Arabidopsis thaliana: one gene and its partner. The protein of the gene in region 2 interacts with the protein of the main gene of each other region in a biochemical or structural test. Each region holds a gene or a part of one and is shown on either strand. Other genes may lie near its edges. The genes, in order: La1 and AT5G62440.

What was found.
Region 1: the proteins of AT5G62440 (region 2) and La1 form a complex in vitro, tested with the Arabidopsis thaliana proteins (one study listed by BioGRID).

Annotation. Positions count from the first base shown.
Region 1 is NC_003075.7:15,785,489-15,790,666, reverse strand, and holds La1 (La protein 1), read right to left. Parts: upstream 3,474-5,178; 5' UTR 3,355-3,473; coding exon 3,304-3,354; intron 3,201-3,303; coding exon 3,122-3,200; intron 3,023-3,121; coding exon 2,873-3,022; intron 2,596-2,872; coding exon 2,453-2,595; intron 2,363-2,452; coding exon 2,214-2,362; intron 2,101-2,213; coding exon 1,978-2,100; intron 1,889-1,977; coding exon 1,594-1,888; intron 1,489-1,593; coding exon 1,341-1,488; intron 1,246-1,340; coding exon 1,173-1,245; coding exon of another isoform or gene 1,169-1,172; intron 1,075-1,168; coding exon 984-1,074; 3' UTR 671-983; downstream 1-670. Other genes in the region: SCRL24 (SCR-like 24), read right to left, coding at 3,826-4,028, 4,264-4,330. UniProt on the Arabidopsis thaliana protein: Binds to the 3' poly(U) terminus of nascent RNA polymerase III transcripts, protecting them from exonuclease digestion and facilitating their folding and maturation.
Region 2 is NC_003076.8:25,071,410-25,075,989, forward strand, and holds AT5G62440 (EMB514 (DUF3223)), read right to left. Parts: upstream 2,661-4,580; 5' UTR 2,509-2,660; coding exon 2,212-2,508; intron 1,523-2,211; coding exon 1,211-1,522; 3' UTR 708-1,210; downstream 1-707. Other genes in the region: AT5G62460 (RING/FYVE/PHD zinc finger superfamily protein), read left to right, coding at 3,785-3,787, 4,100-4,438, 4,536-4,580. UniProt on the Arabidopsis thaliana protein: May play a role in ribosome biogenesis and in determining the rate of cell division. Involved in a process essential for nuclear and nucleolar functions.

The DNA of each region.
Region 1 (5,178 bases), on a different chromosome or scaffold from region 2:
AGATTTTTGAAAAATCAGGAAGAAGTCTCCGTGAAAACTAACAAAAATGTGACCATAATAAGAGAAGGAGACGAGGTCATACGAGTAAAGCTCACACCTTGCAGATCAACGAATTCCAAAATTAATCTGAAGTAATTAAGACGCTGAGAATCCAGATGAAGAAGAAGAAGAACACAAATCGAAATCGAAGTCGAGAGAGAGAGAGAGAGAGAGAGAGAGAGAGAGAGAGAGAGAGAGAGAATGAGAGAGAGAGAGAGAGGTATTCAAAACTCAAACATGGAGAGGCGGACGGAATTCGAAGTGAGAGAGAGAGAGAGAGAGAGAGATCAAAACAAAAAGGAAAGTGATCTCAGCCGTTGATTTCAATCTCTGAATCTCGCTTTTTAGTCTCTCATATCATAAAAGTTCAATTTATTTATTTATACGTTTCTTCATTCATTTTTCTTTCGAGATTCTCTGTTGCTTCTTCTTCTAAACAACGGCAAAGCATTCTTTGTATGAAAGAAGAGTTTTTTTCTCATTAAAAAGGAAGAAGATGAAATTGCCAGTAACAGCTAATTCTAAAATCAGCATAAAAACCTAATAACAATGTAGACAAAGTCAAACGAGAAGACCAAGAAGAATACCAAAACTATTTGATTTTCAAAATTAATTTTAACTACTTCAAGTAAAATAGTGTCATCATCAGTGAGTCAATTGATACAGTTGTAGAATTTACAGGAATATACTTTTAGCAGTTAATATTAATAGTTTGTCTTTTAGAATGCTTCCTAAACATCGATTTAAAATAATTAAGGAAAGAGATGTGTGCATAAGAAGGCACATAAAGCTAAACAAAACAATACCAAATATGACTAAACCAAAATTTGCCAAATAAGCAGCTATTTCTAGTTATAACATCACGAGTCACCAGTCGATACATTAAATTTAAAGTTGCAACTAGAAATATATTGAAAAACAGAAGCAGTCACGAGCGAAATCTCTCATGCTTCCACCTTCTGAGATTTGTTCCAGCGACCACCCGGTGAATCTGATCCCCTCTTTCTCCCGAATCTCCCTCCTCTTCTTCCTCCCCTGCATAGACCAAGTATATTATTATCTGAAGAACCAAACAAAAACTTCATTTGAAACAAAATCATAACAAAGAAACCAGAACAAAAACATGAACTCACCTTCCTCCACGGCCACCCTTGTCAAACCGATCTTTGCTTCGTAGGAGAGTCCAATACTCCTTTTCAGCTTCGCCTGACAGAGAGCAATATAAACAAGTGACCATTTAACTAAAGCAGAACACAAGGTTTAGTTATAAGATAAGATTGAAGTTGAAAAGGTGTTTTTACCAATAACAGGTTCTAGGACAGCAATAAAATTCTTCACGGCTAGTCCACCTTCATTGGCTAATACTGCTGCTGCACGGGCTTTCTGGGATGCTTCAGGTTCATCAAACCTAAGATAACCCGTCTCAGATCCCATCTTGAAATCAACAAACTTCACAACAAAAAGAATAAAGGAATCAGTGAAAATGATGTCAGTTATATGAGATATTGAATCTGATTCATGTTGACAGACAGCTAAGTAAAACTCAAGTAGTACCTTGACATCACCAAATTTTCCGAAAACAGCCTTAAGATCTTCACGTAAGACAACATCCTTATTATCTTTATGGGTGGCTAGAGCACCCTTTTCTTCTTTCTCATCATCTTCATCCTCTGCTCCCTCGGCCTGAACCTCACCAGTGTTTTCTTTATCAGCATCAGGAGTATCTGCTGGCTTTGTTTCACTTTCTTCCATTGTCTTATCAGTTGGCTCCTCAGAACTTTTTTGTTCCGTGGTACCCTCTTCAGCTGAACGCTTGAGGGTGAATGAAATGATCAAACCCTTGGGATAACTACAATACGATAAAATAGCCATAATCAGATCAAGAGGATTATTAGCATGAAAAGACAAGTAATTAGATAGCAACAGTCAAACCCCTACTCTGGCTCATAAGCAGAATTGTTTTTGTGATCAGAACCATTCTTCTGATTTGCAGATCCCTTCTGAGGTTGGTAATTAGCAAATTTTACTTCATCCTTCTCCCTTTCATTATCAAACTCTTTCCTGAAAAGAATATATCACCTTTTAAGTAACCCATCCAAACATTCAATGGAAAGACTTGTAAAATGAGAAACAGTCAGCAAACAGGACATGTTTTCATGTCTAAGTATGATTACTTTGGTTTCAGCTCCAACTCCTGACCAGCAAAGACCAAATTCTGCTTCATAACATTCTGGGCATCCTCTTCTGTAGGGAACTCAACCAAGGCAACACCAGAAAATATCCTCGACTCTGCAACATGACGAGGCATCCTCACACTATTAACCTGCAAGGACGACACATACATATACCAAAAACTTGTATAACCAATCTAAATTTTGAACAATGGCTTATGATTCAATCGATAGTGGATTACCTTTCCATACTGACTGAAAAAGGATTCCACGTCTTCCCTTTTAACATCATAGGAGAAAGGTGACGCAGCTACTGTTCTAGCATTAAGTTGCTCAATCAAATCTTCCAGCTTCAACAATTCAGTACTCCTACCAACCTTTTTCCCTGTTTAAGAAAATCCAACAAAATTGATCACTAAACTGTACAAAACATATTTCTCCAATCTGACACCACATATTATCAAACTTGTAAAATCCACATGCAAAGACTTTTCTTAATGAAACTAAGTTTAAACTATGCACTACACAGGCCATTCACCTATAATTGAAACTCTCAAACTATTATCTTTCTTCTAAGATATCACTACTTCGTTTGAATCAATTAAAGCAATTGTTAACTATATCCAAACCCAACAGAAACTTGATTATATCATGAAACTCACCATCGTCAGAAATCTTGAGAGCAGAAGAGGTTCGAAGAGTATCAGCAACAGCTTTGATGGTATCTTCAGGAATATCATCTCCTTTAGAATCACCCAACTTCAAATATCCTCTCATCTTACTAAAGGAGCAAATCAACGCCAAACTCACCACTATTTGACAAACCAAAAAATCATCAATTAGCCATAACAAAAAAAAATCAAAATACACAGCGATAGCGACTGAATTTGTTTAAAAGTTTAAAACTTTACAGCCATCTTCGCTCTCTGTAACAGTCTTCTTGAGGAAATCATCAATGGGTAGATTACTATCACTGAAATAGAACTCCACCTATAAAATCGATATCAAATATCAGAACATAATCGAAAGAAAAAAAACTGGTGAAGCTACTAGAGAGGAACCGCAGAAGAAGAAGAAGAAGACAAGTTTGTACCTGGCGAAGAACAGTTTTGGCTGTCTCTTCGGTTAGACAAGGAATCGACATAATTGCTCAATGGCTCGAGCGAAAGATAGAGGAGGAGGAAGATAGAAGAATAAGAGAGAAAAAGGGTACTAGGGTTTATTGAGACACAGTTTCCATTTTCTCTTAAAGTTTTCGAGTCAAATTGTCATTTATTTATTTATTTTTTGGTTTTTCGCTATTGATTATATTTGTATTTCGTATTAACCCTTGACTTTTTTAATACTATCAATTTAACCCCACCCACTATACTTTAGAATGTAACAAAATTACCCCAAATAATCCTACACTATCTGATTCACCCCATTACGTCTTTTCGTTGGCAATTGATCAATATTTTCACGATTTTTTTCAATGATCAAGATCAAGACTTGAACCAAAAATTCATACTTCAATCAGCACAACATTTGTATTTTTGAGTCGTGAAAACACTACAAACTCTATCAACAATTCTTATTTAGTTGTAAAGAGATATATTGATTATAGAGTTACAGCTTACGTTTGTTTTGGAGTACAATGAGATTGACATTCGCAATAATGTTTGTACTTGTGTAACATAACAACGTTATTACATGTGCAGCTAAGAAACTTTTTTTTAGATTGATCAGTCATGTATCTCATGCACAACTTTTCTCCGTCTTGGCTACATTTACCGTCCAAGTCTCCTATCGTTGTACACAGTTTCTCAGCTTCCACTTCTATTGTTTTCTCAACCACACAAACCAAAAAAAAAAAAAAAAACGTTAATTTTAGTTCGATTAATAAACAAATGACAATCCAAATAAGTTCACTATTAAACCATATGTTAACGTTGTAACAATGCTTTTTATTTCCTTTAATCACAACACCGTTTTTGCAATTAGAAAGAACATCCTTGTTTTATATCTTATTATATACGAGTTACGTCCATACAAAAAAAACTCAACATATTACCTTTACCACCTCTCAGAACGAGTAACATGAGAGTATAAGAAACTATAAACCAAATAACAGATCTCATGATTGAAAAGCTGATAAGAATTATTAATTATCTCTATAGTTGCAGAAAACTATTGTTTGCCTCTCGAATTTTTTATCTTTCTTATCAACAACACTCATAATAAATATATTCGAGATATCGTAAAAATAGATGCATCTTTTTTTAGAATTTGCTTTGTAAAATTCAACGAGCCTTCTTAATTAACGAGTTCGACGGATCAACTCTTTCTTTTTTGGAAAAATTCTTCTTTGTAAATCTACTTACTAGTATTATATATTTTTCACTTTTTTTTTTTGCGTGTATTGTGATGACGCATCACCTATTCTTTTCAAAATACACAGTTCTAACCTTGATAATCTAAACTCACAAAATCCATAAGACCATTAATTTACAATGTTTAATCCATTGAAAATTAATCTATAGACAAACGTTCAATCTTTATAAAACAAATTTATGGTTTTCTGGGATCAATCCTACTAGCAAGGAATAGATGAAGCAGAGATGCTATGGGAAAACATTCAGGTTGTGTACTGTGTAGGATCAATCAACTCGACCGTCGTCGATCATTTGACGATAGGCCAAGGATCCAAAGGTTCACACTACTGTTCCCGAGGCTTCACTTGGCTGATGATTTTTTTTTTATATGGTTATGTTGTATGTGGGGGGAATCATCGAGAGACCTCATCCAGGATGTTATCCTTAAGAGACAGAAAAGCTTAGGGAGTGAACTTTTTTTGGTATTGAAACATATTTTTTTGTTCTGTATACTAATTTTATTTGTCCACATAAGTTTTCAAACAAATTAATAAACAGTTTGTATTAAAATTACATCAATATTACAAATGCTAATAATTAATTTTTAAAAATAA
Region 2 (4,580 bases):
TTTGGGTAGGTAAATGTCAGCATCGCGGGGATGGCTTTGGTGCAGCTCACACGAGAGCTGTCTTGTTACGTGCAATTTCTTAATTGGTTGGTAGAAGGATAAAAATCCTTCATTTGAAAACGATCTACACTTTTTGGTTTGGAGAAACATATACCCTTCTTTTATACACAAAGATTAATCACAACCATTAATAGAAAATCAATTATAAAAAAAAAAACAAAAAAAAAACTTCACAACCATATAACATCCATTGACGAATTTCATTAAGTGAACGGTTGTACGTTAAGATAAGAAGACTGCAGAAGAAGGTAATAGATATGAGGTGCTCTCTCATTGGCTATTACCAAAAAGGTCTCTGCCACATTTTATGATTTACCAAACTCTGCCTTTTTTCCATGTCAACTTCTACTGTAGGTCCCTTACTCACCTGCATCTTGGTCAGATCATAGATTTCACAAACTGATTGTGTTGCAGTAAGATCGTAGTTAAGAAGCTTCCTAAATCTAAGAAGGCTTAACAAAACAAAATTTGTTGCATCTTCAAAAGACAATTTGTGTATGTGTCTATTTGTATATTGTGTAAGAAGACAATTTGGAATATTAATCCGAATACCGAATATCGGATAATGTTTCTTTATAATTCATAATGTGTTTCAAAATAATCCATTATTCCAAGACGTGTGCCAACCAGTGTTATCACTTCATGTAATCATTTTTTAGCAGGGTTAAGATTTAAGACAGCTTTAGTTTGAGGGCATTGTCTTTCTCTTAGAAGGGTCGTAAACGGTGAACATGTCACACACAGTAAGTTACCAAAGTCAAAATGTCGGTTTTTCATAACTTCCCCAATTCTTTTTATTTAACATTATCATTTAGCAACCAGATCAACACTACACTATCAATGGAAAGTGTTTTTTTTTCATCTAGATTTTGATTTGAGTTTTTCGTTTTTGAATTATTGGTTTTTAAAAACTAGATCAACCAGATTTTTAGTTCTATTGACGCGTCTGTGTTTTTTTCTGATGTTGTCAAGATAGTAGGGACAATATTCTTCTTCTTCAGCAATAATGGGTTATATAAACTGACAATTTTTCTCCAACAAAAAGCAGTTGCATTAGACAAGATCATAACTTTTAAAGTTTTTGGCAAAAGAACTAAATCTGAAATTTTCAAAATTTTCTTTTGAAATAAGGCATCAAGTGTCAGCATATTCATCTTCTGAATCTCCCTCCTCTACCACCACCACGACCGCCTCTTCTTCCACCACCGCCACCGCGACCTCCACCATGTCCATTGCCGTTAGCTCCAGGAGTCTTCATGTTTTCAGGCAATGGGAGGATTTGATCAACACACTTCCTGAAGCTGAAATCGTCTGCAGTATCGTCTTCCCTAACCAGAAAGAAGCATCTGCTTTTCCACATTGGGTGGGTTCTTACTTGGAAGGTTTTGATTCCTCCTCCAATCTTCTTTTCAGGCTCAGAATGGCCCTTCTTAATCAGATCTAGCAGCACCATGTGCTCATACTGAAATGTACAATCCAGAACAAAGTTCAGTACAACGAGTTAGTTAGTTGGAAGCTCAAAAGAAACTGCAACAACTGTAATATATTACATGACTATGCAATGTTTTATCTTTTATTTGTGCCCTCAAAATTTGACATTAACTTCATTCTTCTAACCATTATATGACATCAAGACCCAAAAAAACTTTCTAATTCACACACAATCCACAATCATATAATCAGTAAGAACACGATACATTTGAACTTTTCAACTAGTAAAAAAGCTGCAAAGGAGTCCAATTTACAAGCTATCTCCACTTCACTAATCCTCTCCCTAAACATAATACAATATCCACAATCATCTCCCTAAACATAATACAATATCCACAATCATTGTAAACAACCACTAATTTGAGACAAAAACAAAATTCTAACACCAAACACTGAATCCAAAATCAAATCATATGACCAATACAAAGGCGAACCCAATTCTCAATTTCTTTTAGTTTAAATACAAAGCACGATCATCATCAGATTCATTGATAAAACATCTTCCTAAACACATCACAGAACTTAATAATCACAATCAGAGCTCTTAGATTAACCTATATAAGTCTCGAGCAAAGGAATGAATATTTCCAAAAAATTTGAAACTTTACAATAAACAAAGCCAAAAGACAAAGACGAAGAGTAAACCCAAATATGTATTACCTTATTAACATCGAGATCAGTTGGCCAAAAGTGTAAAAACTTGACAAAGTAATCGAACATCGCCACAGAGGTAACAAACTCCTTGGGACCAAGTTTAACCGGACCTGACTTCTCTTCCTCTCCAACCTTCTGCTTCTTCGATTCACCTCCGTTCTCTTCTTCCTCTGTCTCCTCTCTCTCACGTTTCTCATCGCCGGTCTCGGCTTTCGGGGTCGCGGTTTCGACTTCCATGTCCACTTTCTGGTCTGGGTTCACTTCCGCTGACAGGGAATCGACGATCTCTTGTTCTTCAGCCATTGTTAAGCTAGTAAAGCTTCCGCCTTTTTTTCACCTTTCTACGATTTCTAGGGTTTAAGCTTGAGGGTGTGTGACCTACAGAAATCGTCTAAGCGGTATATTTATATGACTTTGGTTTCCGATTGAACCGAACTGGTTCGGTCTATTTGATTTTTTGGCTCGACGGCATACACTACATGAAAACCAGGATTTTCAATGTAGTAACTAATTTGTCGTCATTGATCTGTCCAATTATTATTTTTACGTCTCTTAAATCTTTTCATTTTAAAGTCTACATTTTTCTAATATATTTTTTTATTAATCATCTCAAGATATTTTTTTAGTCTACAAATTACTTTTACTGTTGTAGAAAATTTGGATAATAGTCAGTAATTCTAAATAATAGAATAAAAACTCAAATCTTAATATAATAGTTTAACAAATAAATCATATTATACTTTTTTTGGATAAAAAATGTTGATATAATTTACAATGTTATTAAAAATAATTTTTGGGATACCTAAACGTTTTAGATGTTCAGTCTGTCGGGATATCTTGGAGACTTAACTTATTGATCAATCACAATTTTTGCCAAAGAGGAAAATGTCAAAGTCAAACGAACATCTTTTGAAATTATTTACATCTCGTGGAATTAATGGAACTTCTTAAATTTTTCAAAAATTTGACATAATTGGAATATATTTTTTTTGCTTCTAGTCAATCTTACCATATTATCTATCAACAGTCAAACACCTCAATCTTAAATTTTCTAAAAATAATGGAATTATTTTATCGTATTTTGGTAAAGAGTTATTTTTGTAATATTATCTAAAATCTAAAAAGAACCAAGATAGATAGGTACAAAAAAAAAAAAAACTTTTTTTTGTGAAAATCTGATTATCATAACGTTACCGTGTCAAATCGTCAACCTCCATAACTCCGGTTTTGTGTATTTAATTATATATTTATCTGTTTACACGCGCTTCGAAATTTTGATTTACTTATCTGAATATTTTTCCAGACCGAACATCAAACAAGAAAACACATTTGTCCGAATTTCATCTTGAGAGCTGTTTGTGCCCTTCAAGAAATCGAAAGAGAGCTTCTTTCCCCCATTTTCTGCGATTCACGATATTTCTTCTTCTATAGGTAATCATAATTTGATCATCTTCTCTTTTATCTCTTTTTTTCTTTCATTTTCTTCTTGGGTTATGGTTGGTTGATTCTGCTATTTGGGAATTTTGATTTCTGTGACTTTTGGGGTTTCAATTTCATTCCTGAATTGTGATGGAATCGAATGGTATCTCTCTTTTGTTTTCATGGTTGAGATGTGATTCTGAAATTTGGGGATTTTCCGATTAGGTTTATGTCTTGAAAATTTGGGGAAATTTGGAGACAAAGACATATTTTAAACTCAGATCCTAATCTCTTCCACCAAGACATTTTCCCTGAATTGTTCCGCTTTAATGAAATGAAATCGATTGTCTGAGCTCAATTATGATGTTTCGATTCAAAGAAATGGAGATTTTTGTGTTGATGATGGAACATTTATCATTATAAGAGTTATGAGATTTTTATTTTGAATCTTTGGATCTTTCTTGGTTTTTAACAGGACAACGTTTTTTTACACATTGAGGCTAAAAGAGAGATGGCTGATGATCAGAGTTCAAGTACTGACCGTCTCGTGAAACCTGAAAGTTTAAACTCAGATAGAGGATCCAATCAATCTATTGAATCTTCTGGAGAGAGTTCTAGAGCTCAGGGTTCCACAAGCCTGTCTACTACTAAATCTATGGATGGTAAGAAAACCGAGGAAGAAGAGACAACGGAACAACGCGATGTTGATGATGAAGAGGAACCGCTCATCCAATCGGTTGAATGTCGTATATGCCAAGAGGAGGATTCCGTTAAGAACCTCGAGTCCCCTTGTTCTTGTAGTGGCAGTTTGAAGGTGATAATTTTATCAATGAATCTCATTGTTTTATTTGTTTTTGTTGGTATCTTTCGTTTAAAACAGTTCTCATCAATTTGGTATTTTGTGTCTATAGTATGCTCATCGTAAGTGTGTTCAACGTTGGTGTAATGAGAAAGGC